6 separate regions of the Mus musculus genome follow, and regions 2, 3, 4, 5 and 6 are each reported to be linked to region 1. The links are microRNA targets in miRTarBase. Many come from high-throughput screens and were not tested one by one. Region 1 holds a microRNA gene; each other region holds the end of a gene's coding sequence.

The links. Region 1 holds the annotated microRNA mmu-miR-298-5p (GGCAGAGGAGGGCUGUUCUUCCC, at 2,887-2,909, opposite strand). A microRNA usually pairs through its seed, bases 2 to 8, with sites in the 3' UTR of a target mRNA and lowers its output. Matches are read on the target gene's strand: a 7mer-m8 pairs with bases 2 to 8, a 7mer-A1 pairs with bases 2 to 7 and ends in A, and an 8mer does both.
Region 2: the mRNA of 9930104L06Rik is a reported target of mmu-miR-298-5p. Seed matches in the 3' UTR shown: 7mer-m8 at 2,314-2,320.
Region 3: the mRNA of Ttc26 is a reported target of mmu-miR-298-5p. Seed matches in the 3' UTR shown: 7mer-m8 at 1,369-1,375 and 7mer-m8 at 1,946-1,952.
Region 4: the mRNA of Mmp8 is a reported target of mmu-miR-298-5p. Seed matches in the 3' UTR shown: 7mer-A1 at 3,927-3,933 and 8mer at 3,561-3,568.
Region 5: the mRNA of Slc2a4 is a reported target of mmu-miR-298-5p. Seed matches in the 3' UTR shown: 7mer-m8 at 1,421-1,427.
Region 6: miRTarBase lists Crkl as a target of mmu-miR-298-5p. Seed matches in the 3' UTR shown: 8mer at 2,616-2,623 and 7mer-A1 at 1,476-1,482.

What each region holds. Positions count from the first base shown.
Region 1 is chr2:174,264,667-174,269,739 of GRCm38, forward strand. It overlaps Mir298 (microRNA 298), which reads right to left and starts at 2,919; the gene lies at 2,838-2,919. It overlaps Mir296 (microRNA 296), which reads right to left and starts at 2,459; the gene lies at 2,381-2,459.
Region 2 is chr4:124,942,044-124,947,116 of GRCm38, forward strand. It overlaps 9930104L06Rik (RIKEN cDNA 9930104L06 gene), which reads left to right. Exons shown (of 5, transcript NM_177573.3): 4 at 310-428; 5 at 540-2,618. The coding sequence ends at 619. Among named protein-coding and RNA genes, the nearest start is that of 9930104L06Rik, 7.5 kb to the left of the region's middle.
Region 3 is chr6:38,424,298-38,429,370 of GRCm38, forward strand. Ttc26 (tetratricopeptide repeat domain 26) reads left to right here. Exons shown (of 18, transcript NM_153600.2): 18 at 831-3,350. The coding sequence ends at 942. Among named protein-coding and RNA genes, the nearest start is that of Ubn2, 7.1 kb to the right of the region's middle.
Region 4 is chr9:7,566,510-7,571,582 of GRCm38, reverse strand. It overlaps Mmp8 (matrix metallopeptidase 8), which reads right to left. Exons shown (of 10, transcript NM_008611.4): 9 at 4,290-4,393; 10 at 3,097-4,148. The coding sequence ends at 4,045. Mmp27 (matrix metallopeptidase 27) reads right to left here and starts at 187. Exons shown (of 10, transcript NM_001310717.1): 1 at 1-187. The coding sequence starts at 125. The region is part of intron 2 of Gm31751 (a long non-coding RNA gene); the gene reads left to right.
Region 5 is chr11:69,938,678-69,943,750 of GRCm38, reverse strand. Slc2a4 (solute carrier family 2 (facilitated glucose transporter), member 4) reads left to right here. Exons shown (of 11, transcript NM_009204.2): 11 at 179-1,465. The coding sequence ends at 382. It overlaps Ybx2 (Y box protein 2), which reads right to left. Exons shown (of 9, transcript NM_016875.3): 4 at 4,424-4,513; 5 at 3,593-3,877; 6 at 3,320-3,423; 7 at 2,984-3,161; 8 at 2,621-2,705; 9 at 2,148-2,525. The coding sequence ends at 2,655. Among named protein-coding and RNA genes, the nearest start is that of Ybx2, 5.3 kb to the right of the region's middle.
Region 6 is chr16:17,483,025-17,488,097 of GRCm38, reverse strand. It overlaps Crkl (v-crk avian sarcoma virus CT10 oncogene homolog-like), which reads right to left. Exons shown (of 3, transcript NM_007764.5): 3 at 658-4,437. The coding sequence ends at 4,303. Among named protein-coding and RNA genes, the nearest start is that of Aifm3, 6.4 kb to the left of the region's middle.

The DNA.
Region 1 (5,073 bases):
GGAATGCCAGTCTGCACTGTTCATTGAGACTCTGGCTTTTCTTCCACAGGAGGTTGCTCGCTGGAGTGAATGGCAGTAACCGCAATTCCTCTGTGTTTTCTCACATTCTATTTACCCATTTGCCCCCTTAACGGCTCATGGATTTTTAAAACATTTTTTTGTTTGTTTGTTTAAACTATTATTCTTTTGTGTGTGGAGGTCAAAGCACAACTTTGTGGAGTCGGCTCTCTTCTTGCATGGGTTCTACGGATGGAAGGCAGGGAGCAGAACCTCTCAGCGAGTTTCAGACATTTAAATGCTGGGTTATAATCCTGGACAACAATTGGTTCAACTGCTCAGTTTTGACTCTTGGTAGCACTTACCATCAAACTTAGGTCACTCTGAGCTCTACAACAGCACATCCATGCTCCAGGTTCATCCAGTAGTACTAAGAACCACCCATTTCCTTCCTCAGAAGTTGGATCCCTTAGTTAGTAAATGGTCTTTGCACCAAAGTCTAGGTAGAACAGGGAGAGACATGGCCATGCGTGTGCATGCCTGGTGAGTCCTACCTACTTTGTCTGTCTGTCTGTGAATGAAGGGAGACTTCCTTATACCACTGGAACCTTTGCTAGGCCACAGGTTCTCATACTTAACTGTCCCAGGCAGCAGGATAGTTAGACAGAGTTGAAGACAGGTGACAACCCACATGCTATATGTATTTTGTTTCCTTTGAATTAATTTGTAATTAAGTTAGGTAAAAAAATCAGTGCAGCTAACAGACACCATGATCTCCCAGTAGAGTCAGTCATTTGTCCCCAGTATGATCTGGGACAAGGTCTAAAAAGCTTCTGCTGTGACAGGATGGGGGTAGTGGCTTCTGGAATCTAGTGAATACAAGCCATGGGAATTCACTTCCTTTCGTGCTCAAGAGGCCCCCAGAATCTCAGTCCAGCCTCATGAGACCAGTGGCCAGGCCAAGGGTACACATGACTAGAGCTAAGGACCCCAGGGGATCCTTGCTCAGAGAGCAGCTGCCCCTTATCCAATTATGTTTTCTCCCAGAGTCTCTCCTGACACATGTGGTGATTTTTGCAGTTCTTGATGCCAACCATTCTCTCCCACTAGTAACACAGCCAGGAGAGTCTTACCTCTTTGTCAAGACAATGGCTACAGACAAGGAAGAGGGTGGGAAGATGAGTGGCAGGTAACACTAAGAAGGAGGCTCAGTGCAGAGGAGTGTTGGAAAAGCAGAAACAGCAGGCCTGAGGACAGCGGCCTATGGCTGGTGAGTGAGTAGCTTGTTGGGGCTTCCCAAAGGAAGAGAACTGAAGTTTATAGAATTCATATCTGAGGGTTTTACTCTAGCTTCTGCTCACGAGACGGCTGATACACAGCCTCCCATTTGGGCTTCACAGCCTTCACTCCCTGTTTAGTGCTTAACCTGCACTATTGGTTTGAATCTTCTTCAATGTCTCTCTATCCATCCATCCACCCACCTACCCGCGCATCTATCCACACACTCATCTGTTCCCCCTCCTACCCCCCATCCCTCCCTCCCTCCCTCCCGCCCTCCCTCTATTCAGAGTTTACTGTACTCTAAATGAAAGGTGCTCCAGCCCTCTTGCAGTTGAGTTAAATCTAATTAATGGGAAGAGACACTAAGAAGCAAGATCAAGCCAGGTGTGTGCTAGAAGCAAGCTGGTGAAGTGGGATGAGTGATGGGCACACCAGGCAGAGCTGGGTAGAGCGCAGAGCACAGATGAGAACAACACCAAACAATCTTTCTTCGTGAATTTATTAGGCAGATACTGTGTCACACTTGGGAGAGGCTGGGTGTGAGTAACTCAAAACTGGGTGCCTGACACCCTCCCCCCCCAGCTCAGTCTTACAGGGGTGGTTCACCAAAATGCCTTCTAGACTGGACACAGCAGTTTATGCCAGAAATGCTGGAGTCTAAGGCATAAGGATTCCAAGTTTTAAGGCCAGTATGGATAATTCAGTGAGATCTTGTCTCAAAAATAAATAAATAAATAAATAAAAAAGGGGGGCTGCCATGAAGACCGGTGTGGATCTGACTGATGTCCATCCCACTCCTGTAGGAAAGAAAAGATAAGTGAAAGGAAAGCAAACAACCACATCAAGGAAGGTCTGGTGCTAGGAAGCAAGTTTCCCAGCCAAGGATACAGAAGAGTAGGGAGATACTACACAAGGTGGTACAAGCCCAGGGAAGCAGGGCACTATTAGCCTAGAGCAGACAGGGTGGGGTCAGGTCTCTGGTACCCCATGAGCACTAACTGGGGGGCAGGACTAGTCTAGCAGAGGCTGCCACTGGGATCAAGCCAAAGACAGCAAGCATTCTCTAGAGCCCCAAGGGACTACTTACCATGCGACGCTCTGCGGACACCTTCAGGAGAGCCTCCACCCAACCCTCTGAAGCGAGCACAACAGGATTGAGGGGGGGCCCTCCAGAAAGGCCCTCTTGTCACCTTCCACATAGGCTGTTCTGTGTGCACACAGATGGAGATCCCCTCTTAGGGGCCCTGCCTCTGTCTCCCCAACCCCAAGACCCTAGGAGGGTCTCTTTCTGTAGTCTCGAATGCCCACTAACCTGGATCTTGGCCCGCTCACCCGCTTCCCAGCTACGTGCGCTCAGAAGCCACTGCATCGACAATGGGAAGGTGGCAGTCTTAGTAGTAGGCTCAGGGCATTATGACAAGACCTCAAAGTTCTCCATGGCTTTTAGAAACATCTATCTCTGACTCCACCAGCTACCTTGATGGGTGGGGGAACTTAGAGGATGAGTTCCGTGTGTCAACCAGCAACATTCTCCTGGAGATCGGAAGGAAGCTGTTGGCCCACTCCTAAGCTGAGAGAAGGCTAGTTCCTCCCAGTCATAAAACTCAAGGGAAGAACAGCCCTCCTCTGCCAAAGGCCTGGGCCTCTTATGCCTCTTGGTGTCTCTTTCAAGCACGGCAGGAACGTCCCAGCCTACCTCAAATAGCTGTGGTGCTCAGGAAGCAGTCAATTGGGCAGGAGCTAGTTAGTGGGGGTCCAGAGACACTCATCTCATGGCCAGATCTGTCTATGACCACTCCATCCAATGGACTCACTCACTTGCATGTAGTAGCACAAAGAGGGCCATGGTGTGGCAAGTATCCTGTACAGTAAACCCTCTTGTTCTATCAAGGTGCCATTATGAACCAATCAAACCATTTCTAAGCAGCCCTGTAGATTCCCACGCTCCAAGAAGGATCCACCTTGCTGGGCCTCTGCTCCAGCAAGACCCACCTCCCAACTCAAATGCCCCACCCCATGGGTGCTGACTGGGTCTCTGTGAGGTGAAAAATCAATCCATACCTGAGGAGGAAGAACCCCCAAGTTCTCCTACTTAGCAAACCTTTTCCTCAGGACTGAATGTTGTGCTCACAGCAGAAGCAGCTGAAGAAGTGCAGGCTCCAATCCTTGAGGCTCCCCATCACACAAGGCTTCAAAGGCAGGACTGTGCTGAGAGCTCAGAGGTGCTTAGAACAGAGAGATGGGGTAGGGAATGTTAAGACATAAACAAAACAGACACACAGCCGCTAAGGTCATAGTTTTAAGCTCTTCAACTTAATGGTTCTGTCCTAGTAGCCAAACAGCCATCAGAAGACATATTTATGGGCAATCTTTTGGCTACTGTCTGACCATGTGAGACACAAGAGCCATGTTTTTGAAAACACAGGTCCTTTTCTAATGAATGCAGGTCGTTAACGAAATAGGCTTGGAAGTCATCTTCTAAGGCCTTTGTCCATGACCCTAGACAAATCATCTTCCCAGAGTTCACTTGTACGGGGCCCTCAGCCAGGGCAAGCACTGAGGACAAGAAATCAAGTCTAGAGACTTCAGAAAAGGCTTCCTTTCTCTTTTCTGAAACTCTTTGGTTGAGCAGAGAAGAGAGACGGAGCAGAGCCATCATGCTCCCACGGGTGCAGTAGAGCAACAGTGGGAGGCAGAAGCAAACAGAAGAACAGTGAGGCCCATCACAGAAAGACACATCTGATGGACACCCACCCACCCTTGATCCCAACCATCAACATGGACAACCAACCCAGGCACCCATAGGTAACAAGGCTGGGACAGCTGGGGATGGTGTCAGGCCCAAGAGCTGCTCAGCACAGAAGGGTCACAGGAATCCTGCGCTAAGTGGCTCTCAGAAAAGGGGTGCATCACCACCAAGCTGTGAGGGGCTGAGGTACTTTGTACTCCCTCTGAAGTCCTCCCCCCAGAGGAAGAGCACAGTTTTAGTGTGAGCCCTTTGCGGAGTCCTCTCCCCTCTGTGCAGTTGTTCCCAATACATCTGACTTGGCGGCTAGAGATGTGGCTCCAAGTGTTGGCCATATAAGCCCCTTTCCCATCACTCAGAAAACAGAGAAATGCCAGGAGGTACACGTAGCTCTCCAGGCTGCCAAGAAGGTGAGCTGGTGACTTTAGAGGTGCTGCGAGAGAAGCTACTGTAAGCGGGCCCCATCATCTTCAAGGACACTCTAGAGTTGTTCCTTCAAAACTGTGTAGCACTCAGTCCAGCTCTCAGCTGCAAGGAGAGAGGATGCTCTGTATCTTCACTTGGGGTGGATGTCTGTCTTATCTGTCCAGCAGACTACAAAGACCCATCCCTAGCTACAGGCTGAGTTGCAAAAGAGCTGAAGATCCCACAAGTACGAGGGAGGGTGCCTCTTGCTTACACTGTCAGAGGCCCCAGAGAAAGCCTCTCTGACTTGACCGTTTCGGTGAACATTGCCCCAAATCCTCATTCGAGGGTAGCTCAGACCTCCATCAGCCCCAGTCACCCCTCAGCTTCTGCTCACATGAAGAACCACTTGACTCCTGAGTGTACCAGAGCCCCTGCAAGGGCAGCTAGGAGCCACGAGCCACTCCTCCAAGTAGACACCTCACATGTGGCCCTCAGTGCTTGTTAAGTGTGCTCCTATGTGCCTTCCTATAGCTCCCAGCCAGCTCATCCCAAACCTATGCCCTCAGCCCCAGCGGCTATCTCCCTCACAGCTCTGCTGCACCGAGGTCTCTGATGGCCTAAACTCAGCTCAGCCTAAGTAT
Region 2 (5,073 bases), not on the chromosome of region 1:
AGTTGACAAAGGAGATTGTCACCCAATCTAGATATGTAGGGACGATCTTCCTCCTGTCCCTCTGTTTCCTATTATAACTGCAATAGTGGTACTAGGTGTGCTAGTGGCGCCGCTAACCCTGATATCGCTAAGCACTGCCATAGGCTAGGCGCTGGAGGCCCTGGTTGGCTCTACTCTCCTGCCTTGATTTCTAATCACATTACTGAGATGGACCACATTCAACAGTAGTCCCATAAGAGCATATGACCTAGTGACACAGATATCTTGTAAGTTCCTTTTTCTTCTGAGCAGTCCTTAACTTCTGGGAAGGTACCTGAAGAGAAAGTACCTCCTCTCCTCCATCCACTGGGGAGACTTGGCCAGCATCCAAGCACTGCCCAAGGCCTGGGACCAGATTTCAGAAAATGAGTGCCAAACTCTTGTGTCAGGTACTGGTGTCCGTCAGTCCTGTGCTGCCTCTCTGGAGAGGTTAGACACACCCCCTCCGTGCTCTTGGGCCTTGATAAACCTGATGCTTTGTCCCTTGCTTCCTGTTCTAGATGTCCTGGTGAGTGTCTCCTTCTTCCTGGAGGAGCCAGGAGGCTGTGCAGCGTCTGGAGATCTGGAGCACCACAGCTGAGGGCTGCCATTGCTACACTAGGCTATTTCTAAGTGAGGGTCAGCATTGCTACCTGACTCACTGGAATAGCAGTGCCTAGGACTTCTCCGTGCTAGGCCATGGCCAAGGGTCCATGACAGCTGCACCTATGACTCTGAGAAGCAGATAGAGGCTGAGGAGACAGGAAAGGCAGTGCTGATAAACAGTGTCCACCAAGGCAGGAAAGGGCAGAATGCAAGGTTGTGTGGCCACCGCTGCCTATGTCATCTGAACCATAGTCTCTGGTTGGCTCAGGTCCTGATTCTGTGTGTGTCAGTATCTGAGTCCTTAATGGCTTAAAGATAGGAGTGGGTCTGGGAGTCCAGGGCGGGAGCAGTGTGTGTGTCTGGGGGGAGGGGGAAAGTTGGGGGACAAAGTCAATCACCTGCAAAACCCCAAAAAGGAAAGGACTGAAGAAAAGGGAACTTTTAAAATGTTTACTCCTTCACCGAAGCTCATTATGAAGCCAGTTTCCATTTCCAAAGTCAGCCACCAGGGGGCGATGGTGCAGCGTGAGCGGTTCTGAATGCCTTGTTCTTGAGGGAGGTCCCCTGTTGCTGTTAAAAGCCACTGAGGTGTCTGTGGGGAGCTGGGTATCCCACCCAGGACTAGGGAGGCAAAGACAGGTGGGTCTTTGTGATTTTGAGATCACCTTGGTCTCTATAGCTCCAGGTCAACCAAGGCCACATACTGAGACTGTCTCAAAAAGGAAGACAAAAAGGTAAAGGGACCTTGCATTGGCCACGGTCTTCTGAGTTTGGGGTAACCGGCCAGGGGAGGGAATGCCGGCTGTGATGGTTGGTTTTTATGGTCCACTTGACAAAGCCACCTCGGAAGGGAGTCTCAGTGAGGAATGTTCTAGATTTGGTTGGCTTGCAGACATGCAAGATTTTCTTAACTGAGGTGAGAAGACCCATCCTGAATGTGAGTGGCAGCATTTCATGGGCTGGAGCCAGGATCAAAGGAGAAAGAGCAGGCTAAGCACTTAGCAGGCATTCACCTTTGATGGTGAGTATGCTGTGACCAGCAGCTGCTTCAGGTTCCTGCCACTGACTCTCCTGTAGTAATGGATTCTAACTTCAAATTATAAGCCCAATATCTGCCAATAGGTGTTATCATGTTTTAGGGTTCTCTAAAGGAACAGGACTAGTGATAACATGAATGAATATAAAGAGAGAGTACTGAGGGCAGCAAGAGTGAGGGCCGGCGTACCTAAAGCAAAAGCTTTCTTCTTCCATATGATGATATGTGGACTCCCACCACAGGGTGTGGCCCAGATATGGGGTGGGTCCTACCCCCGAATGATCCAGATTTAGAGTGGGTCTTCCCACCTCAAATGATCCAATCAAGAAAGCCCTCACAGGCCTGCCTAGTTGCTTGAGTCTTAGTTGATTCCAGATGTCAAGTTGACAGCAAAGATTAGCTATCACATGCAGTGCCGGGAAAGAGACTGAGAGGCAGCCTGGAGTGGTGCCGACCCTTGCCTTCTGTGCCACAGCCACTGCTCGGGGGTCTCAGCTTCCCATGTGCTCTACGAGTCAGGGCTGCCGTGTACAGGGCGTAGTGCAGAGAATGGGTTTATTTTAGCTTTTGATTTTACAAGATTGGGTTTCTCTGTGTAGCCCTGGCTGTCCTGGAACTCACTCTAAACCAGGCTGATCTCAAAGATCCACCTGCCTCTGCCTCCTGAGTACTAGGATCAAAGGCATGCGCCACCACCACCCACCCAGCTAAGGATGGAGACTTTTAAAAAGAAAGTGGCTTTGTTTTCTTACTATATTTTTTGTTTTCAATTAAAGAAAAAATTTAAATACAGAAAAGTATAATGTAAAACCCACCCTAATATTTTGATCTGTATCCCTTTACTGTTCTTCACAAATTTCAAAACAAAGACATTGACACAAACTCATTGTTTCTAAATTTGTGGATAGTTGGACATCTGTAAATAAGTCAATAAAACTGTACTATATAGGCTATATGACATTTGGTAAATATATTACTTTTTTTTGCTCTTTATGCATGTTTGTGTATATGCATGCATGCTAATGTATGTGAGCATATGTGCATGTATGTGTGTGGTAACCAGAGGATGACTTTAGATGTCATCCTTAGGAGTGCCATCCTCCCCCTTTGCGGCAGAGTCTCTCATTGGCTTTGAACTTACCAGTTAAACTATCCTGGCTGGCCAGTGAGCTAGGGGATCCTCTCCCTCCACCTCCCCAGTTCTGGGATTGCCACAGCAACTAATGATCTTCCTCAGCCTCTCTAATGCCAGAGTTAGAGGTGTGCCACTGTGCCCGCTGTTAGTACTGAGCCCTATGCTGAGCCCTGGGTATAGAAATGAAAGAAAGCCACTGGGAGTATTATAGTTCGACAGGATATTTTTTTTTAATGTGTATGAGTGTTTTGCCTGCATATATGTCTGTAAACCATTTGTGTGCCTGGTGCTAACTAAGGCCAGTAGAGGGCATCCTGATGCTAGCCTCCAAGGTCTATTCCCTTATTTGGCCACTTCCTCCAAATAAGGCTGACCACCAGGGTCAAGCTATCAAAGTATTGAAGTCCAGCAATCAAATGCCCCCTTTGGCTCACCTAATTAACCTGTCCAATTAAAATTAAACACCTAATCCTAACCCAGTATTTTCCCTTGGCCTTTAGAAACTGCCATTTTCCTGTGGGCCACATCTGTCTCCTCTCTATCCAGAAGCAGTTGTCTATCCTCTGGGACAAATATCCCTTCCCCGCTCCCTTGTTCTCTGCCCTTCCCCTCTTCCTTGTCCTCTGTCTCCTGTCTTTGCCTCTTATTCGCCACCCTCCTTTGTGCTGAGAACTTGGTCCTGGAGGTCCTGGGGTGATAATGACCTTTTACACTCATCTTAGCTGGGCGGTGGTGGCGCACGCCTTTAATCCCAGCACTTGGGAGGCAGAGGCAGGCGAATTTCTGAGTTCGAGGCCAGCCTGGTCTACAGAGTGAGTTCCAGGACAGCCAGGGCTACACAGAGAACCCCTGTCTCGGAAAAACAAAACAAAACAATACACTCATCTTGTCGGTATGGGTCTGTTTCTGATGAGGCCTCAGGTAATGCTAATGCTGGTGGTCTAGGGATTGTAAAGAATCTGATTCTGATTTGTATTATAAAGTAACAGAATGAGTACAGGTGAGGTCAAAAGCACCGAGGGAGAAGAGAGGCGCTGACTGCATGGGGACCACTTGAAGAGTGCCATTGTGTGCTGGCACCGTGCGTGTTACATTTACTCCCAGAGCCTGGCACCTTAATACAATTCAGAGCAACAGCTGTGTAGAGTTCCTAGGATGGGATGGTAAGGTCCCACCTGTGAGGGCAGCTTGGCCCAGATTGGGTAGAATCTTGAGTTTTTACTTAACCGTTTGTATTGGGGGTGAGGGGCCAGAGGAGATGGCTTTCAGTAAAGAGAGTAGGCACAGTAAAGTGAGTAGGCACAGGGACCTGAGTGTCCTTGGCACTCACACTAAAGCCAGGTGCAGTATCATGCACCTGTAATCTCAGGCCAGCGGAGGGGATTGGATCCCTGGAACTCGGGTTACAGATGACTATAAGCTGCCATGTGGGTGCTGGGAACTGAACTTGGGTCCTCTGCTAAAGCAGCAAGTGCTTTTAACTACTAAGCCCTCTCTCTAGTCCCTAAAGTGCTATCTTCCTGATTATTATTTTAGACTTAAGATCTAAAATAAGTGTGATTTACTTGCTGAATAAGGTACACGTCATCTGAAGTGTAAAATCCAGGGAAGACTTCTCCCCCATCTACCCAGTTCCCGTCATTGCAGACAGCCGATGCTAAGCGCCTCTGGTGCCTCTGTGCAGTGGGTATTCTCTGAGGTGGTCCCTGGTGAAGCCACCTCTGATGCTTGTGCCCTGTTCACTCTTTGCCACCCTTTGATGTGGGCCCCTTTGAAGCTCAGCTTCTAATGAGTAGAACAGAAGTAGGTTACAGAGAGCACTGCTTTTCCAGCAGTTCTTCCAGGGGACCCAGGTTCAATTCCCAGTACCCACAACTCCAGTAGCTCCAGCTCCTGGGGGTCCATTGCCTTCACACACACAAATGCTGCAAAACACCGATGCACATGAGATAAAAATTTTATCTGCTTTTATCTTGGATGCTGCCTCCTGCTCTCTCTTGTATCCCCCTCTTAGGGGAAGTTAGCTGAGATGCTATGAGGCCACCTTGTAGAGAGATGCCAGAGAGGTCTGCTGAGCAACACTGTGAGGGAGTTGGGAGACATCCTCCCTGCACCGGTTGAATCCTCAGATTCAACAGCCCTAGACGATGGTCTGACCATGATGCCAGCCAAGCTGTGCTTGGATTCCTGGCTGGCACATGCAAACAGAAAAATTATTTAAGTCACTATGCTTCAGGGTGCCTTTCCTCCCGTGGCAGCAGCTGGCCTGCATAGGAAA
Region 3 (5,073 bases), not on the chromosome of region 1:
CCTTGTGTTTATGTATAATCCTGAATACAAGCATTTAGTCAGATGCAGGAGGTTCCTCGGGCCAAGAAGTGGGAGGGGGTGGGGAGGGTTTGGGGGACTTTTGGGATAGCATTTGAAATGTAAAATAAGAAAATACCTAATAAAAAATGAAAAAACGAACAAACAAACAAAAAAGACAAGACCACATGGGGAGCAAATCCACAGACAGTTGCCAAATCTCTGATGAGACACCAGAGAAGCTTCAGCCTGCCTCACCTAAACTCCAAGCTTTAATTATAATAAATCTTAACTTGGGGCTGGAGGAGGCTTGTGGTTAAGAGCATTTGCTGTTCAGTCATGAGGATCACAGTGTGAATCCCAGCACATATGTCAGGTGCTCACAGACACCTGTAAGTTCAGCTCCAAGGCATCTGACACCCTCTTCTGTCCTTCTCGGGCACTTGCATAGTGCAAATATACTCATACATACATGCACATATATACACACAGATTATATATATATATGCATAGATACACACATACATAAGGATGCATGCATGCATACATAAAACGAGTTTTTAAGTTAAAACATGTATTAGTTAAAGTGCAAATGCTGGGCATTCACCAAATTCTGGTCCTTACTGCTATTCTCATTTATATTATATTTGAACCCTTTTTGAGCAAATATGTGGAAGAAGCAACCCATTGTCATGGCTTAGAAAAGTAGCAGCTTTGAAATGCCCAGTGGAGGGTCCATGAGCACAGACACCTCATTGCAATATAGTACTATGTCGTGAGATCGCTAGTTTTTCTTTATTAAAAAAAATGTGTTCTCTAAAACCTTTCCTCAGAGAGACCCTCCGAGAAGTGCTGCATTTACTGAGAAGCACAGGAAACACCCAAGTGGAGTATATCATCAGGATCATGAAGAAGTGGGCCAAGGAGAATAGAGTGCCCATCTAAGCAGCCAAACCCTAGGCCAGGACCAGCTTCCTCTCACGTCAAATTGGAACTGTTTTCTTGCACTTGAATATGCAATCCAGGACCCTGCTTGATTGACATTTCTTTCCTTGCTCTTAGAGCATTAGGATGAGTGGGTGGTATGTGTGGACTTAGGCATCAGGCAACAGGAATCTCCCTGGCCTGCTGACACCCAATGTAATCTACTGGTGCCTTTCTTCCATAATCATTCTGAACACTATTCTGTAATTTACTGGCTTTAGGAATAGATACTAGTTTTGTTTTTCTTTCTCTGTTAGCATTTCAGGACATATCTTTTTTCTTCTTCTTTTTTTTTTTTTTCTGAGACAGGGTTTCTCTGTATAAGCCCTGCCTGTCCTGGAACTCACTTTGTAGACCAGGCTGGCCTCGAACTCAGAAATCCACCTGCCTCTGCCTCCTGAGTGCTGGGATTAAAGGCGTGTGCCACCATGCCCGGCAGGACATTTTCTCCTACCTGCAGTAACAAGTACCTTTATACTAGAGAATTGCCATCATTTGATCATATTCCATCATTTTGTACATTAGCCCATCCATGACTACATCTCTGACTCCTGGGAGACGTCTTTCTGAGCTGTGTGATTCTGAGGATGGCCATGAGGCCCTCTACCAAACAGCAGTCAGTAGTAGTTAGTTAGCTTATGAGACCACTCTCTGTGAGTAGCTTGTTACGTTGAGACAAGCTGAGTATATGGTTTTAAAAAGGTGAGTGAAAGGAAAAACTTGGCATCTCTGAAGGTGTGTAAGTCTCAGAGTTAGGTCTCCCTTGTATTTTAGGAAACAAAGCCAGGGCAGGGTTCTTACTATCTTCTGAATGAACAGCAATTTTGAACATAGGACTGGGAAAGTTTTCATGAAATATATATATATGTATATTTTTTCTGAGACAGGGTTTCTCTGTGTAGCCTTGGCTGTCATGGAACTCACTCTGTAGACTAGGCTGGCCTTGAACTCGGAGATCCGCCTGCCTCTGCCTCCCGAGTGCTCGTATCAAAGATGTGTGCACCACTGCTCAGCATACGTACCTGTTTATATTGCGCACACATGAACACATCGTAGGGATTTATTGATACAAGTATAAAGCAGGTCCTTTGAAGAGACCTCCTAATGGCTAGCCTCTCCATCATATCTCAGCCTCGTGTCTCTGAGCTGTCATCACATAAACTTCTTTTTTCTACAACAAAGTATTGTCAGGCTTCCATCCTACTTTCAGAAAACAGACATACATCTTTTTGTGTATCAGATTACCTGCTTGTTTGTATGCTCTGTAATTTTCTTCTGTAGGTCTGAGGTACACAAGCTAGAACATACAGACCCATCCTCATAGAGCAGGGACTGCACAGAGGAGGAGGTGGAGGAATTTTTAGAAACACCATTAATTCTTCTTCCTTCCCAGCCTCCTGCTGCAGATGGCAGATGGGAGTTCTGCACAGAAAGGAGAGGGAAACCTGTACAGAGTAAAACAGCTGAAGCAACAGGACCAGAGGCTGAACACAGCCTTCATCTCTAGCCAGTCCCAAGGTGTTCCTCAGCTCTGTATCTCTGAGTCCTGGGACAAGTCTTCCCGAGAAGATGGCCAGTGTGCCATCTTTTACATTAGGATCAGATATGATTGGGCCAAAGCACAAAACACAGTACTGGTCTAACAGAACTGCAGGAAACAAAACTGCACCATTTCCTTATGCCAGAGCTTCTTGTCTTGTTCTGGTGTTCCCTCTTTTTCAGTAGCACCTGGTTCTCTTTGCCAAAGGTACTAGGTGGATCAGATATGACTAAACCTGCTATAGTTCTGTGAATCATTCTTATGAAACTTATTTTGCTTTAAATACTTGGAAGCAAAAGAGTGGGATGCAGATCAACTCCTGGGAGCTGTTGACATCTTCAGTGACACACTGTTCAGTTCCAGCTTCCTGAAAGACACTCATTCACAGTCATGGACTTCCCAGTGAGACATTGTGAGTTTACTACTTAGTAGTCTCTGACATTTTCCTTGAGAGAAGACGGTCTGTCCCCAACAGCAGAATTTTAGATTACTGTTAAAAGTTTTTAATCTACAGGATTGAGACAGAAACATGAAGGCTTGTTAAAGAGAAGCACATTCAATTCTGTTAGGAGGGATAATTGTTTCTGATTGTCTTGACAGGGCATCAAGTTCGTACTGTGTTCTCTCACAGATGACAGCCTGGAAAAGAAGGGCTTGGCTGGGGAATGTGTAATTTATACAGTCTATCATAGCAATGTACTATTTAAAAATAGTCTGTAGTGTATACTTAAAAATGGAAAAAACACTTTTACAACTATTTTTGTACAACAAAAGAATCACATACCACTGTACTATATTTAAATTAAAATTTATTTTTTGGTTTTTGTCATGTGTGTTCATGTTTATGCAGCTGTGTTCACGTGTAGAGGTTAGAGGTCAAACTGAGTGTCTTATCTCTTTCCACCTTATATTTTATGAAACATGCCTGGAAAGTTAAGGTATATGCATATGCTAGATACCATGACTACACATTTGCCAAATCTAGTGGAATTATATTTAAAATAAGGGGCTTAGGAGCATTTAATACAGGTTTTGTTTGTTTATTTGGTTGGTTTTTCAAGACAGGATTTCTCTGTGTAGCCCTGGCTATCTTGGCGCTCAGACAGTAGACCTGGTTGACCTCGAACTCCTCTGACTTCTGCCTTTGCCTCCTGAGTGCTGGGATTAAAGCTGAGCACCACCCCCATGAGGCAGAACATAGTTATTTTTTTAAGCCTGGTAAGATGGCACCACAGATAAAGGTTCTTGCTCTAAAGCAGTGCTTCTCAACCTTCCTAATGCTGCAACCCTTTAATACAGTTCCTCGTGTTGTGCTGACCCCCAACCATTTTTTTTTTTTTGCTGCTACTTCTAATTTTGCTACTGTTATGAATCATAATGCAAAGATCTGTGTTTTCCAATAGTCTTAGATGACTCCTGTGAAAGGGTTGTTTGACCTCCAAAAGGGGTCAAAACTCACAGGTGGAGAAGCACTTTTGTAAAACCTGGTGGGTGTCCTGAGTTCAATCCCTGGAATTCAATGGAAGAAGGTAGGGGAGAACTGACTCTATAAAGCTGTGCTCTGACCTGCACATACACATGTGTACATATGGAGATACAGACAGCAATAATGTTTAAATAGTGAATAGAAAGTAAAAAGAAAAGACTTAGCTTCCAAGAGTATATGCTCCTGTGATGACTACTACTACTTAGGGAATAACATTAACATCGTGGATAAGATCCAAAGAAACTGAAAATTAAGGTCATTTTAACTTTACCTCATTGCACAACAATACAAAGCGTTTAAATTATCAGAAAAACCTATACAAAAATGAAGCAAGTAGACAATATGAAGGGGTTTTTGAAAGATGTATAGGAGAAAGCATGACAGACGAATGCCTCTGCTCAAACTTACCTCTTGTCCAAACCTGTATATGGGCTTATGTCATCCATTAAAGCAACGAGACTGATGGATTGGATCACAAAGTAAAATCCAAGGCTGGGCTGCTTGCTCTTACTGAGAACAAAGTAATTCGTGATCATTAAAGTGAGAAGACGAGTGGCAGTGCAACTGGGAAAATGCAAATAGAGAGAGAGCAGGTGCCATAATCAAACAAGGTTGGATTCAGGTCAAAGTCATTAAGCAGGCCACAGAGACACACTTGGAATGACAGAAGCTCTGTTTCCTGATGAACACAATGGTTATGAACATGCAACAAAGGAAAGGCACCAATATTCAAAAAGCAAAAATGATGAGAGATAATGGCAGGTCGTGAAAGGTGAAATGGAAATGTAAGTAAAGCTGCAGTCATCTAAACATTATTGGCAATAAGCAAAATCTTCATATGTCAAAGAATATACCTCCCTTCAAGGACCCGCAGGCTGTTCAGTAAAATCTACAAAGAAAATAACATCACTTCCCATGGACAGCTTGCTCCCCGTCCCAAACATTTCACAATTGATTAACCCAATTGATTCAAACACTATTTTAAAATGATTAATATATTTATGTGTATATGGGCACATGTGTTCCATAGCAAGTGTGTGAAGATTGGAGAACAAGTAGGGGCGCT
Region 4 (5,073 bases), not on the chromosome of region 1:
TCCTCATTTTTGTCCTTCCTGTCTGGAGGAAATGCAGCGGAAAGTGTTATAAAATTAACCATCAGAGACAGAAGGCACTTCATTCCTGTCTCTTCAGTTAAAGCTTGTTTCTGTTTGTATGGCATTTAGAAAGTTGACAGTGAGACGTGGCATGAAGTAATCACTTAATTAATAACAGCAAAGCACATTGCCATGAAGTGTCTCATGACTTCGTTTTCCCCTTAGATAAACTTGAATTTTGCAACCACAGTTGGTGATTGCTTATCTAGCACATTGCTCACTTTTGAGCGCTGACAATAGCAAGGCCCCCAAGTTAGTCTTCTGGTCTCAAAACTGGTAGTTTTACTGGTAGTTTTGGTAGGTTGTTATGAATTTTGAAATAATTTACTTTGGCAGAAAACACTAGCATATCTTGGTAGTGTGATTGGAAGAGACAATGGAGTCGGATATTAGTTTAAGTACTGTGCTATGGTGCCTGGCTTCTATATGAGTTCTGCCTACTGAGCCACTTCCCAGCCTCTGTGTCTTTAATTGTTAGGAGTACTGGCTAGTTAAATATGAGTAATTGTTTGTTATTATTATTTATTTTAGTATTATATTTGAATGTTTTTTGTAATGTCTTTTTTATGGTAATGGTGTTAAACATTCTTTTTAAAAATTTATTTGTTTTTTATATCCTAACCAGTTTCTCATCCCTCCACTCCTCCAGTCCTCCCCCAACTTCTTTTTTCTCCTCCACATGTTAAACATTCTTATAGCAACTGTTTGCTTTTTTCTACCAGAATTGTCTCTGGTTTCTCAGAGTTTCTTGTTGGATGTCTGTTTATCACATTGCCAACTTTCAAATGTTTGTTAACTATGTTGTGCAATCTGCTTGGAACTTCTGGGACAGAAAGTTATCTGAGAAGCTGTTAGTACCCAAGGATGGGTGTGGGGAGTTGGAGACCTTTCTTACAGGAGGCAGGGTGTATTCCAGGCTTCTATGGTATGTGATGAGATTTAATTGAACACAATAGGAAAATGCACAATAGCAGATAGTTAATAAAACTCAAAGTGATATTTTGTTTGTGTAAGAGCAGCCGAGGTTTGGTCTGTGGCGTCTAGAGTGAATCACCTCTCTACATCAGGGGCTGTGTGGTTTCTCAAAAGATGGCTATTGAACCTACATTGCAGGTAGCATAAAACAAGGAAGGAAGAGAAATAAAGTTCTTAATATTCTTTGAGGAACCCCACCTGTCTTAGTCAGGGTTTCTATTCCTGCACAAACATCATGACCAAGAAGCAAGTTGGGGAGGAAAGGATTTATTCAGCTTACTCTTCCACATTGCTGTTCATCACTGAAGGAAGTTAGGACTGGAACTCAAGCAGGTCAGAAAGCAGGAGCTGATGCAGAGGCCATGGAGGGATGTTCTTTACTGGCTTGCTTCCCCTGGCTTGCTCAGCCTCCTCTCTTATAGAACCAAGACTACCAGCCCAGAGATGGTCCCACCCACAAGGGGGACCTTTCCCCTTGATCACTAATTGAGAAAATGCCTTACAGTTGGATCTCATGGAGGCATTTCCCCAACTGAAGCTCCTTTCTCTGTTATAACTCCAGCTGTGTCAAGTTGACACAAAACTAGCCAGTACACCACTCAATAGTTAGCTACAAATTTTGGGTGAGAATTAGGTACATGCCGTACCTGTCTGTACGTAAAACTGTAAAGTCTTGGTTGTGCAATAACACTGAAACTGGATTGCAAAAGCAGTAGAGAATGTTGGGGCAGCCACACTGAAGCTCCTGCAGGGTCAGCATCTGTATACCTGCTTTTCCCAGATGGCTAAGTTTCTCCAGAGCAGACCCCCCCCCCCCCCCCCGAGGTTCTTACATACCACCTTCTAGATACAAATCTGGTAGAAGATATCGCTGACAGCACATCTCTGATTTATGCAACTTGCCTTCTTGTGAGAAACTATGAATGTTTCTGTGTTTGGCATGGCACAGAGTTATAGTTTAGAAGTTTAGTAATTAAACACCCCAGAATAATTCTCTCCCATTAGGGCCTGAGAAATGGCAAAGAATTTTCCCAACTCCAGTATAAAGTGTCCTGTGGGATTCTTAGTAGGTGGATGCACAGCCAGATCCCCATAGCAAAAACCTTGGTGACACTCGCTGAGCTCCCCCCCCCCCTCTTTTCCTTCTCCCTGCAAAGAGTGGACCTGGAATCATGCTGCCCTTTCAAAATAATTGCATCAGGGTCTTTGCACAGGGTTTACTTTTGAATAAGCTAAAAACAAGTGCAGAGAAACCTTGTCCTTTGAAATCTAAGTTTAGCTTTTTGTATCTCTGTGCTCACATAAATACGATGCCTAAAAAAATGCCCGTGACTCCGAAGTATGGCCAACAAAATAGCAGGAACTAAACTCTCATCTCAAACATTTGGGTCAGCAAACTCACATGAGCAGCTCACAGAAGTATCTTGCATTTATATCTGTAAAAACTGTCCTATCAGGAAGTTCCAGGAATATGGCATTTGAAGTTGATTGGCTGTGCCTACTGGTTTGACATTGAAGGAGAGATCAGGGAGGGCAGCTAGGAGGTGGCCTCTCCTGTTGCTGTTCTGGGAAGTGCCTCATGGTCACCAAGCAGGCCTTTGATTTGACTTTGTGTTGATTTATTTTCTTTTTTTTAAAGATTATTAATTATTTTATTTATTTACGTCTCAAATGTCGCCCCCTCCCTGTCTCCCTTCCCTTGCCTCTGAGAGGGTGTCCCCCACCCAGGTATCTCCCTGCTACCCTGAGGCATCAAGTCTCTACAGGATTAGGCTCCTTCTCTTCCACTGAGGCCAGACAAGGCAGCCCTTTGCTACATAAGTACCTGGGGAGAGGTATCAATCCATTCTAAATGAACTTGATGGTGGTATTTTTGTTTTTGTTTTGTTACTATTATGTTTTGTTTTTGTTTTTTAAAATCCCTCTCCCAGGAATTGAATCCAGGACCTCACACATGCTAGTTAGGCACTCCTCTTCGCAGCAACACCACATAGTGGTCTTAAGGGTTGATGTACTATGTCAGCTTCCTATTGCTTCTTTAACAAACAATACACATTCAATAGAGCAGAATAACAACTTTATTTTTTCACAAAAGCCAGAAAACCCATATCAACAAGTGCCTCAATTCTGGAATGTGCTTGAGAAAGGAATGGTCCTTTTTTTTAAACCCCTCCTACCTGCCTCTGCCTGGGAACTTATTGGCAAATAGATTTATAGATACAGCCCTCCAGTGTCTGGTTCTCTTTGCTTGGTCTCTTCTATCATGTGCCCATACCTCTGCTGATTCTTCCCAAATCTCCTCAGAATAAAACATGTTAGGAAAAAACTTTAATCTCTGAGTGACATCCACACCTCTCACTCCGTTTTATAAGAACATATGTATGCACTTATGGCTCATCCTAACCCTGTTTAAGGCTGTCTTGTCATTTACACATAATTCATTATATCTTCAAAGACTCTGGTTAACAGCTAGATAAACAGCTGGGGTTAAGATTTCAATGTTTTTTTTTTTTTTTTTTCTGGCATGCAGAGGGGCATGATTCAACACACATTACATATTTTTCATATTTTTCCAACGGAGGAAATAACAGCACTTTTTTTCTGTACAGATAAGGGGATAATATCTATGTGTTTATAATCTTCATTTGTAATGAAAATCCAATGCTAGATTCCCTGTTTGAAGAGATTTAGGAACATTTGAAGCTAGATAAGCAAGTAATAAAACAAAAGGTTTTAGAAGGCAGAAGAGCAGATAATGAAATAGTGAAGAGTAAGGTAGTAAACGGCTTGCTCTCTTTGTGATGCATTCACGAACCAGGGACGGAATATGCAGAAGGAGTTAGCCATGGCTGGGAATGCCAGATTACAAACGCTGGTTCTTCGAAGAGGGCTGCAGAGTTAGTTACCACTGAGGAAAGTCTGGGCAGGACACGTGGGATGAGTATACAGACTGAGCTTCCCTTTTTGTCCTCATAGGGTGCGTGCAAGGACATTTGACATTGCTCAACTCTATGAACAGTTAAGCCATAAATTGCTTCTTGCAACTCTAGTGACTCTGTGACTGACAAAATTAAATGCAAAATATTGTGGTCCACTGAAGAAGAGGAAGAAGGCTGTAAGAAAGAGACACATGTCCAAGTTAGGTTATAGATCTCAGCTCTCACTGAATTCTCACCAAATAAACCAAACAGGATATAGAAATGCAAATGTGTTACTTTAAGATTTTAACAGTGCTGTTAACTTCCCCCACTTACAGTCCTGCAGGAAAACTGCATCGACTCTACAGTTTACTCCTGGGAACATGCTTGGTATGCTTTTGGGGTAACCTGGGTCCATGGATCTTCTTTGATTGTCATATCTAACGAGAACAAAATATCACATGATTTAAAAACAATCTACACAATGACAGTTTTATTCTAATTTGTATAAGTCATAAAGTACTCTCTTACACATGTCCACACTAAGTCTTCACTGTGTCCCATTGGCTGAGATTAGGAACCTTAACGTCTCTACCTAAGGGTATTTTGTTTAGAAAACAGAGGAATGCCATTGATTCTAAAGCAGCATTCTGATTGCTGAGGAAGGGGTTATTTCCCAAAACTGTAGCCTATATTTTCTAAATAATTTACTTATCTGGCAAAAATAATGAATAATGTATATATGTACATGTGTGTATATTGAAAATAAATGCACTTATTAGTATTTTTTAGCATGGAAAGTAATGGGCTTCATTACAACACTTCCTACATAGATACATTGTTTATTTATATTCATGTCTCCATTGTCCTCCTTTTAGTTTCACCCACCTGTCGTCTTCCTTTCTACAGATAATTTCTCTCTTGCTTTCATATTTTAATAAGTTCCTCTTATGCACCAAATTCTGTAAATGATGTTGAAAGCATTCATTTGGGAATATCAGAACTCAACTCATAATATCAACTTACTTCTTTCTCATATCCCACTCTAGTGTGTTATGAGGGTGTGAAACATCTCATGATATAGAATCCTCAGCATATTTGTGTAGGTGTTTTATCTGAT
Region 5 (5,073 bases), not on the chromosome of region 1:
CACTTAGGAGAGCAAAGGGTAAAAAAGCTAAATGAGATTTTCAGTGAAAGCTTTCATTTCTGGTCATTGCCACTGCCTCTTAAGGGAGCAAACCTGCTCCTCACATAGCCCCAGTTTCCTTAGTCTTTGGTTCCTGGCTTCCCATCTCTGTCAACATTTCTTTCTCCAACTGTCCCAGGATGCTATGGGTCCTTACGTCTTCCTTCTATTTGCCGTCCTCCTGCTTGGCTTCTTCATCTTCACCTTCCTAAAAGTGCCTGAAACCAGAGGCCGGACGTTTGACCAGATCTCAGCTGCCTTCCGACGGACACCTTCCCTTTTAGAGCAGGAGGTGAAACCCAGTACAGAACTTGAATACTTAGGGCCAGATGAGAATGACTGAGGGGCAAAACAGGGTGGGAGAGCCACCCTCTCCACCCAGACTCCCTCCTTTCCTCTACAGCACTTTAGCCCTCTCTTCCCTGTTACCTCCAGGTTGAAGGAACAGCAGCCTGGGGAACTGGGAAGCTGAAGGGAGGGGTGGTCCATGTACCCCTCATTCCCCCTGTGTGATTCTTTTGGATTATTTATGTGTGTGGCTAGGCTGTGGCCACCTAGATGGGCTTTCTCCGTCCTGCCTTCCTCCTGCCCCTACCCAGACTCAGCTCTAGACTACTTTCCTCCCCTTTCGAGAAGGGGTCTGCAGGAGGGTGGGGTGGCCCTGAATTCATCAGGATAAACAGCAGGGGTGGGTGTGTGAGCGAGTGCTTTCCTCCCACAAACTGGCACTTCCACTGAACTCTTGCCACACAGGCTCTGGGTGAAGGGGGTTGTCTTGACCCCTCCAGGGCAAAGGATACACCCTCCCAAAATCTAGCCCTGCCTCCCCACAGGCTCCACCCTCCCGGGCAAAGGAACACAATAGTACATACCTGACAGGGCAAGGACGGTTAGAGCGCATCAGTCTCCATTTGGGGCCCTAGGTTGTTCCCAGGGCTGCAAAGCGTAGGTACCAACACTTTCTTGTTCCCCTCCAGGAAGGGTGCTAAACCCGAAAGCTTCTGACCAACTAAGGGCGGGAGGGGATTTGAAAGGCTGCCTATAAACACTGGTTGGGAGGGAGCCTTTGGTATTTTTGTATGTTTTGAAGAACGGATAGGGAGCAGAAACCCAAGGGCTGCTGTATTAAATGTGTATATAGAGATTCGTCCATAAAGTCACTGTTTGAAGATGAGTGTCCTGTGCTGGAGGAACTGGAGGGTGTGCAAAAAGAAAATGCCTCACTCACCCTTTGCACTTCATCCTTCCTGGGCTCAGGGCACCGAGGCCTCTAGATTCTGTCACCTTTTTTTTAGGGGGGGGCGGGTTTCGAGACAGGGTTTCTCTGTCCTGGAACTCACTTTGTAGACCAGGCTGGCCTTGAACTCAAGAAATCCGCCTGCCTCTGCCTCCCGATTGCTGGGATTAAAGGTGTGCGTGTGCCACCATGCCCAGCTGTCACTTATTTACATCCACTTTCATTGCCCTCCTCCAAAAACTAGGGTTTCACTGCATAGCCCAGGCTGCCTTGTAGCAAACCTCTTGCCTCAGCCTTCCAGAGAGCTGGTTTGCAGGCCTGAACCCAAATGCTCTACTTTTTAAAACAATTTGTTTTCTGGAAACAGAAACGTGGCTCAGGATGACCTGGAATTAGGAATCCTGTCTCAGCTCTCTGAGCGCTGGCACATCTTTCTACTTTGATTTTTATCCACTGCTTAAAGATTTACTTATTTTATGTGAGTACACTGTCACCGTCTTCAGACACACCAGAAGAGGGCATCAGATTCTGTTATAGATGGTTGTGAGCCACCATGTGGTTGCTGGGAATTAAACTCAGGACCTCTAGAAGAGCAGTCGGTGCTCTTAACCACTGATCTATCTCTCCAGCCCTTATCCACTGCCTAAATGAACAGTAAGTGGTTTGTAAACTGTATTTACAAGTGCCTGGGCACTGCTGAGACTTCACCCCCAGTAACAGATCCAGTTACTCTTGGTGAAAGGGTTCATGTCACAACTGAATAGCTAGGGGTACTGGAGCAAGGAAGTACTAGCAGGCCCTGCCCACTGTTCGGGTCTCAGCCCCACCAGAGAGTCTTCATCCTCAAACAGAAGAGCCAGAGACCAGGACAACAAGAAAGCCTGCTTTTGTTTTTACTGGAGGCTCAGGTGGCACATGACAGTTCATAAAATGGCTTCAGAGGTGTTGGGGGGAGGTCGAAGGGAAACAAAAAATAAATGGGTGGGGAAGAAAAACAATCAGGAGGAGGTATGAGCTGGCTGGTTCCTTCTCAGCCTGACTAGGGAGGGAGGTGATGCCTCGGAACAATAAGGATGGATCCCTTCCTTCAACCCATGCTAGGGGAGAGGGAAAAAAAAGAGAAAAAAGCCAAAGGCTGGTGCTTTGGCCCTCCTGAGTCTCAAGGGAAAAGCCGATGTTTTGATGTCATGAATTATGGGAAAGTGGGGAGGGGGATGCTGGGTAGAGTCAGTTGGAAACTGGCAGATACCTAAGAGAAAGAGAGGGAGACCAATCATAAAGGGTCACTTGGCAGAATCCACCACCCCTCCCCCTCTCCGGCTCTTGGTGAGATGTAGCACTCACCAGATGGTAGCTCTGGGTGTCCTCTGAGTTGGAATCACTCCAGTATGGTGGTGGGGGGGTCCCCACTGTTGATAGGCGCGGAGGTCTGAAGAGCAGTGGTGAACTGAGACTTACTTGTTTACAGCCCCCTACTTCAACCTTTTCTTAACTTTCCTCTTCTCATCCCTTCCAACCAGTTCTCACACTTCACACCCCAAAGATGGGCATGGGGATGGGACATGCAAAGGCACCCTGGGCTTGACTTGCCTGCATAGGGGTTTCCTGGTGAGTAATGCCAGCCAGGGGTGGGCCAGGGAGGATGCCAGAGGGACAGGGACAAGGAAAGTAGAGGTGCAAAAGGACAGAAAGTACCAAGACCCTCACCTCTGCGGCTATAGGCTGCCGGGGGCCAGGGGGCTGCTGCCGACGCCGCTGGAAGTAGGGACGGTTTCGTGGACGCTGGGGCTCAGGCCGGGAGCCATCAGTGGGGCCTTGGCTGGGCTTGGTCTCTCCATCCCCACCTTCTGTGGTAGGCTGTTGGGGTGGCCTGGGGCGGAAAGGCCTAGAAAGAGAAACAAGCTGACAGGATCAGAGAATTGGGCAGACTCCCTTCCCAGGATTCCTTGGTTTGTCCCCATCTGTTCCAGGCTCTAGAACTTTTGTCATTTCACACAGGCCCAACACTGGACCCTGAAGGGGAAGACAAAACAACAGTCTTACCTTCGGTACCTGGGCCGGAATCTGGGTGGGGGCACCCGTTCATCTCCCTGCTGTTGATCACCCTCCAATGGTGCTGTCTCCTTGGGTTCTACCCCATCAGAGCCCTGGGAATACACAAAGGCCTAGGTGGGCTGTGGAACGCCTGATGTCTTTGGAGCTTCCTTGCTCTTCGTTCTACTTCCTGTGAGGACCACAGTCTCTGCCCTCACAACTCCCCAACTTCTTTCCATAATGTAAGAGAACTAGCCTCCCCGGCTGCAACTCTCCTCTCACCTCTATGGGCTGTTGCTGGTTGGGGGGCCGAGGGCCTCGCACAAACCGCCTTCGATAGAAGAAGGGTGGTGGGCGCCGTCGTCTAGGTCGCTGCCCCGAGTCCTCTGCCCGCTCCCCTTCGCTGCCAGGTTCTGTCCCACCTGAGGGAGCCTCTGCCACCATAGGTGGTGGGGCAGCTGGGCGAGGCCGAGGAATGAACCTCCGGAACCTACGTCGATTAGGGGCATAGCGGCTGCCCTTCACTGGTACCCCCCCAGGCCCAGTGACATTAGCAGCTTCTGCACCCTGGGGAGGTAGAGGGGGAGCAATCAGAACCTGTTCTGACAACACACACACACACAGTACTTACAAACCTGCCAGATCACTGGTGTCCCACTTCTTCAGGCCCAAGTCCTCTACCCTATCACTCCTCAAAACCACTCCTCCTTTGTCCCCTCCCCCGAGGGGCAGCAGAAAGAGTTTGTACCCATCTGAGAAGAAACAACTTGTCCTTAGAAATAACTGCCACATTCCCCCCAGAGTGTAAAGACAGGACAGGATGAGATAGAGAGAGCCACTGTCCCTCCTTCATTCCAGAGGACTGACTGAGGGTCCTGTTAGGGCTGGGGTCCCGTGTAGAAAACAGACATGGAAGTGCTTGGTGAACTAAAGAGAAGAAACCCACATGTTACTGGCTGGTGACAGGGATGGGTTCTTTAGGACATGTCCTAGAGCAGCTCTAGCGTTCACAGGCAGAGGCAGAGCTGGTCCCAGGAGGGCCAGAGCTTCGGCTGACCTCCAGGCCACCCTCCCACAGTTCTGGCCAACTCCACCCCACAGCAGCACCCAAACCTTCTCTCCTTCCACGACATCAAACTCCACAGTCTCCCCATCTCCAACACTCCGCAGAAACTTCCTGGGGTTGTTTCTCTTAATAGCTGTCTGGTTGGGGGGAAAAGTCATGAGAAAGGTGAGGGCAGCAAAGCCAGGATCCCTTGGACCAGCTTCAGCCTCCACCCAACTCCACTCTTGGTGACATTTTATTGGAGTCTAGGGCTGGAGGGCAGAGCATGAAAATGGTCAAAGGGGGAGGGGGAGGGCCTGGAGCACAGCTCCACAAGACAGAGATATATTAGTAGGGCAAAGTCAAGAGCTAGAGGTCTGAGGGAGCCGCTATCCCCAAGATGTCCTTCCTCCCCACTGTACCCCTCAAGGACTTCAAGACATGGAGGCAGTAGGAACTCAGGAGCAAAACAGGCTGAAGAACATCTCAAGTTGCAAAGTGGGTGAAACGTGCTGTGCTTCTTACCTCGATCCCACCGAGCACTTCCACCACAGCAGTGGTTCTCAAACTAGCATCAGAATCACCTGGGAGCGGGTCAAAACTGAGTGCCCAGGCCCCGCCCCGCCCCGAGGCGGATTAATTCAGTGGCTTGGGGCGGGGCCTGAGGATTCAGGTGATGCTGCTGCTGGCCCACAGAACACACTGAGACTCACTGCAC
Region 6 (5,073 bases), not on the chromosome of region 1:
TGTTTTGGTTGCTTAAGTGTAGGGTCAGCTTATGGCCTGGAAAAACGGGGAATCCCATGCTCCTCAGCCATAGGGCACCTCAGCACAGGGCTTCCTACTCTTTTAAGTGGTACTGTATGTGCCTAACATGAACAAAGTCCTGGGTTCTATCCCAGCAATGAACGAACCAGGCTCAGTGACACAAACCTGTAATTCCAGAAGTCTGAGGCCAGCCTGAGCTGGAGAGCGAGAGCTAGCAAGCCTCCCACTCTTTTAGGACAGAGTGAGAAGCCAGAGCTACATACAGACCCTGCCTCCTAAGGTGGTAGAGAAATAAGACAGGCAGACAGAAAGGAAAGGATGAAACTTGCTTGTTAGGTTTACACAAGGGAAACATGAGCCCTGCAAAGAAGGTTGTTTTGAGGCAGGGCGAGGACCAAGCAACCCACTGGTTCCCCGAGTGCACCTCCTGCTCGGAATGCTGAGTAAGTGCTTGCTTCCACGACACCCAGAAAAGAGTTATTTCCTTTTGGAGGAGGCTCCCATGTTAGGAAGCTGTCATTTTTGAATGAGGGAGGCAGGAGCAGCGTGAGTGGGTCTCTGGGGAGTACCAGGGGCTTCAGCACAGTTGAACTGTTGGGAGAGTCTGGTGGGGCTGACTGAGGAGACACTGAAACACCGAGGCTGCTGCCACGCCGGCTGGTGCAAGTTTTATTGAGACAATGTACAAACAGGCCATGGAAACAAGGGTTTTGATGCTGGGACCAGTAACGCAAAATGGAATACAAAAATAAAAAGGCACTAATCTGTTAAGAAAAGACACTCAATGTATTCTAAGAATATAAGTCATTTAATACTGTTAATTTTATAGCACAAAATAAAACAAGCTATGATCCCCAAAAATAATTTTAAAAGCTTACACAGAAAATATTATTGCCTGATGCTTATGTTCTTTAAGTTATACACGTCAAAAGAGTTTTATGTCATTTTAAAACACACAGTGAAGACCGTCTAGAAGCAAGGCCACTGTCCTCCTGTCTCAGAACTGTCCTCCTGCTCCTTCAGAATATACAAGCAGCTCAGCGTCCACGCTCACAGCAGTTAACCAGGGAGGGGTTCACTGGTTCCAGAGTGAGGAGTCCACAGAAAGCATTAGTCTTAGGTACTGTGTTAAAACAATCAAGAATTCACTCATTTTAAGAGGTTAATGAACATAATATTAAAAGATTAAATTATGAACACCTGGAACAAAAACACATCATCCCTTTTTTTTTTTTTAAATGCTCATTATTCTTTTGAGTAAAGGTTACAAGAGCAGTGGCCATCAGTCTTGGCCCATCTTGTCTGTAAACAGCTGTAGAGGAAGGCTGGCACAGTGCCAGGATCGTGCAACTTGAAAAGAGGGCAGAGTCTCTTCCAGTGAGCACAGAGGGTTACGTCTGGATGACAAAAGCCAGGACACCCTGTCAACCTCGAAACAGGTGGCATCAGAGCAGTGCAGAGTGACAAGCATGCCTTCTGTATGGGGTTGGAGGTGGAGGTGGGGGGCTGTCACCCAGGACTAACTAGCCCTTAAAGCCCTCAACTACCTAATTGTTTCCTTCTCAGATACAACAGCCATAGCAAGTGGGTTTATCATCCCAGTACTTTCTACAACATGGCAGAGCAGACCACACAGCACTGATGATGAGAAAAGGAAGCCTCCATCGTACTCCCCTGAAACCAAGGGTCTTCCCAGAAGAGTGGGACTTGGGGAAGATGCTGCTTTCTATCAGTGAGAGAGATTTCCATGATTAAAAATCGATGAGCTTCTAAGTCAGAGAATTACTATTGTTGGCACGCACGCACGTATCCTGAGAGTTCAGAAAGTTAAGTCTTTATTTTGAGATCTGGATCTCTGAGGAAGCTGCATAGACATTTACATGTGCCAAATTAACTGATTACATAAAGCAAACTCCAGGGTTATGGGACATTCTGATCATGAAGTATTCCTTAGAGTCTTGCTGGTCAACAGTCTTGGGAAAAGGGAAACCCTGTTCTCAAAAATGGCTGTTTATGCTAAGCAAGGTGCTATAATCAAAAGGCACCAAGCCCTTCAGTTAAATGTAGTTTTAAAAGACCTTAAGAGCTGGGTGTGGTGACTCAAACCTTTATAATTTCAGCTGAGGCTGGGATGGAAATCTTGAAGCCAGCATGGGCAATTTATAGAGATCCCATCTCGGATTTCAAAAGCTTACTGGCAGCCGGTTATCTAGCACGTGTAAGGCATGAGGTTCAGGCCCCAGTGATGGGGTATCCCTTGGGGGTTGTGCCCTCAGTGAACAAGGTGTGTATTCCAGTGGAGACATCAAAGGCCTGGGGCTAAACTGTGTAACTGGCCAGAAGGCAAGTCTTAAATCTTGATTTAGGCAGAGTCTGGGGCCTGAACACTTAAGTCCACTCAATAGGTCTGGCTAGAAATGGCAGCTTTCAGAGACAAAAAGAAGTAACCTCTACAGACGTGACACTCCCCATACCCCAAATGACCATTACTTTGTCACATGAACATTCTTTACTATAGAACTTAGCCTGATGGACTACTGATTTAAAGAGAAACTAATGGGGCTCAAGAAATGGCTCAGTGGTTAAGGTCTTCTTGCAGAGGACCCAGGTTCAATTCCTAGAACCCACAGAGTAACTCCACAGTTCCAGAGGATCCAACCAACACCCTTTTCTGGCCTCCTAACAAACTACCCATGTGATACACATACATACATGTAGTGGAAACACCCATATACAGTTTTTTTTGGGGGGAGGTCTGAGGGGGGGATTGGGCCATCTTCTGATACAAGGTATGTATGTAGGCCTGCCTGTCCTGTGACACACTACATAGATCAGGATAGCCTTGAACTCTCAGAGATCCACTTGCCTTTGCCTTTCTGAGTACTGGGATTAAAGGTGTGTCCACCATGCCCAACATAAACAAAAATTTAAAGTCTTTAAGAGAAATAAATATAGTGGACAAAGGGTTTTGTTGGTTTTGTCACCTGAATATGTTCCATTAGTTCTCAAAGCCTCAGGCCTGCAGAACCAGGGCCATGGTTACAGAAGATATTCTGTAAATGCTAGAGCTGCTCACTAGCCACTACTCCATCTCTAGGTCTGCTACGTTCGTTCTGTGTGGAGGTGTATCCTCATCAGGGTCCAACTGAAAAGAGTGCACTCTAGAAAGGTTCTAGAGCTCTGGTTTGCCATGTGTGGATGAGGGATCAGACACATATCTGTAGTAGCTGACATGCAAGGAAAAATGGCTCATGATCGAGGGGCGTCTTCTTTTGCTCAGAAGCACTGTATTCTGGTTCTACTCAGGCTGTGGAACCAGAACAGACACCACTCTCAAGCTGCCTGGACAAGCTAGGTCAGTACAGGAAGGGCTGGGTGGCCTCTGTGGTGGAACACAGCAATGCAATTTAACTCACGGATCTAGTAAGCCCACAGACTTCAAACGTTTTCACTGAAGAGGCCCACCCTGTCTGCTCCTGTCAGAGGCAGCGATGACAGCAGGCCCACCCCCACCTTGGTGCTTCACAGCAAGGTACACCATGACTGCTGCTGTGCACTGTTTGCCACATGGTAAACAAGGTACTGTGGCAACCAAAAGATAAAGGCCCCTGGAGGGGGTCTTTTCCTATTTTAGTTACGTACAGTGGCTTCAGTTTGGAAGCTCAGAGACATGGATTGTTCCTTAGACCATCATAGACCAACCTACTATTTAAAAATCTGTTCAGAACACACAACTATAATTAATTAGTCTTCCAAAAAACAAAACTAAACAAAAGAAAATGAAAACCAGCCAGACTTGAGGAGTTCGGGACAGAATTGTCTGGAGTTTTACTTCCTCTGTCGTCCAAAGAAAACTGAGTTGGTGGCAAAACCACTGTTCTGTGGACCAGCAAAGCGAGACCTTGCCAAGCCTCACCGTCTCCATGCAGACCATCAGCAGGCTTGCTTGCTCTCTCTGTCAGCCTCCAGTACAAACAAGGCAGTGATGGATGGGAAGGAAGAGCTGCTCTGGGTTCCAGTCTCTACTGTGTGCTTCCACCAGTGTTTCCAGTTCACAATCCACAAGAACTCTAAATCAGCTACTCTTTGACAGCATGACTATGATACAAATGCCGAGCCAGCGAGCAAGGCAGCTGCTGAGGCATTCCGTATGTGCAGGGACTGCCAATGTATGGAAAGCTGACCGCCAGCAGCTCGGTGTAACTTGCATGTGACAGAGTGCTTCCCACTTCAAAGGAGACTGACAGGCAGAAGGAGGCAGCAGCAGGGACAGCACAGCAATCACTCGTTGTCATCGGGGTTCTGAGGGTCAAAGATTTTAACATGTGTGAAGGGGAAAAGCCCCTTGCGCCCATTCACCTCGCCTTCCCATTGGCCATTGATATTCATCCTTGTGACTTTCACAATGTCACCAACCTGTAAGGGAAGAGGGAAAGAAAACAAAATTAGCATCACTACAAACAAGGAAGACAGTTTACATTAAATCACAAACACTGTCTATACAAAAATCAAGTAGTACAAAGACACGAGATGCCACCAACCACCCAGGATACCTGTCGCTGGCAAAAACTCAGGAAGCAGCCTCTGAACACAGAGCAGCCACTCCCTCCAGCGTTACTAATAAATGGACATGTATGAGCATCCAACTCTAAGAACGTGCATGTTAAGCTGAATAAAAGGGTAAGAAGTGCGGACTGGTGGCACATACCTTCAATCCCAGTCTTTGGGAGGCAGAGGCAGGCAGATCTCTGAGTCAGCCTCATGGACAGAGCGAGTTCCAGGACAGCCAATGGCTTACACAGAGCAACCCTGTCTTGGGAGGAAAGTGGGAAGTAGCCAGGTGTGGTGCTTATAATCCCCACAGACAACACACAGGAGGCTAAGAGGACCTTCAGTTTGAGACCAGCACGGACTTAATAAAACCATCTTGCTCTGACAGTATATTTATGTAAAACTGAAATGATACAGAGATAATTAGCATGACCCCTGCACAAATGTGTTAAAGCATTTCATACTAAAAGACCACTACAGCAAACAAAAACAATCTAGAGC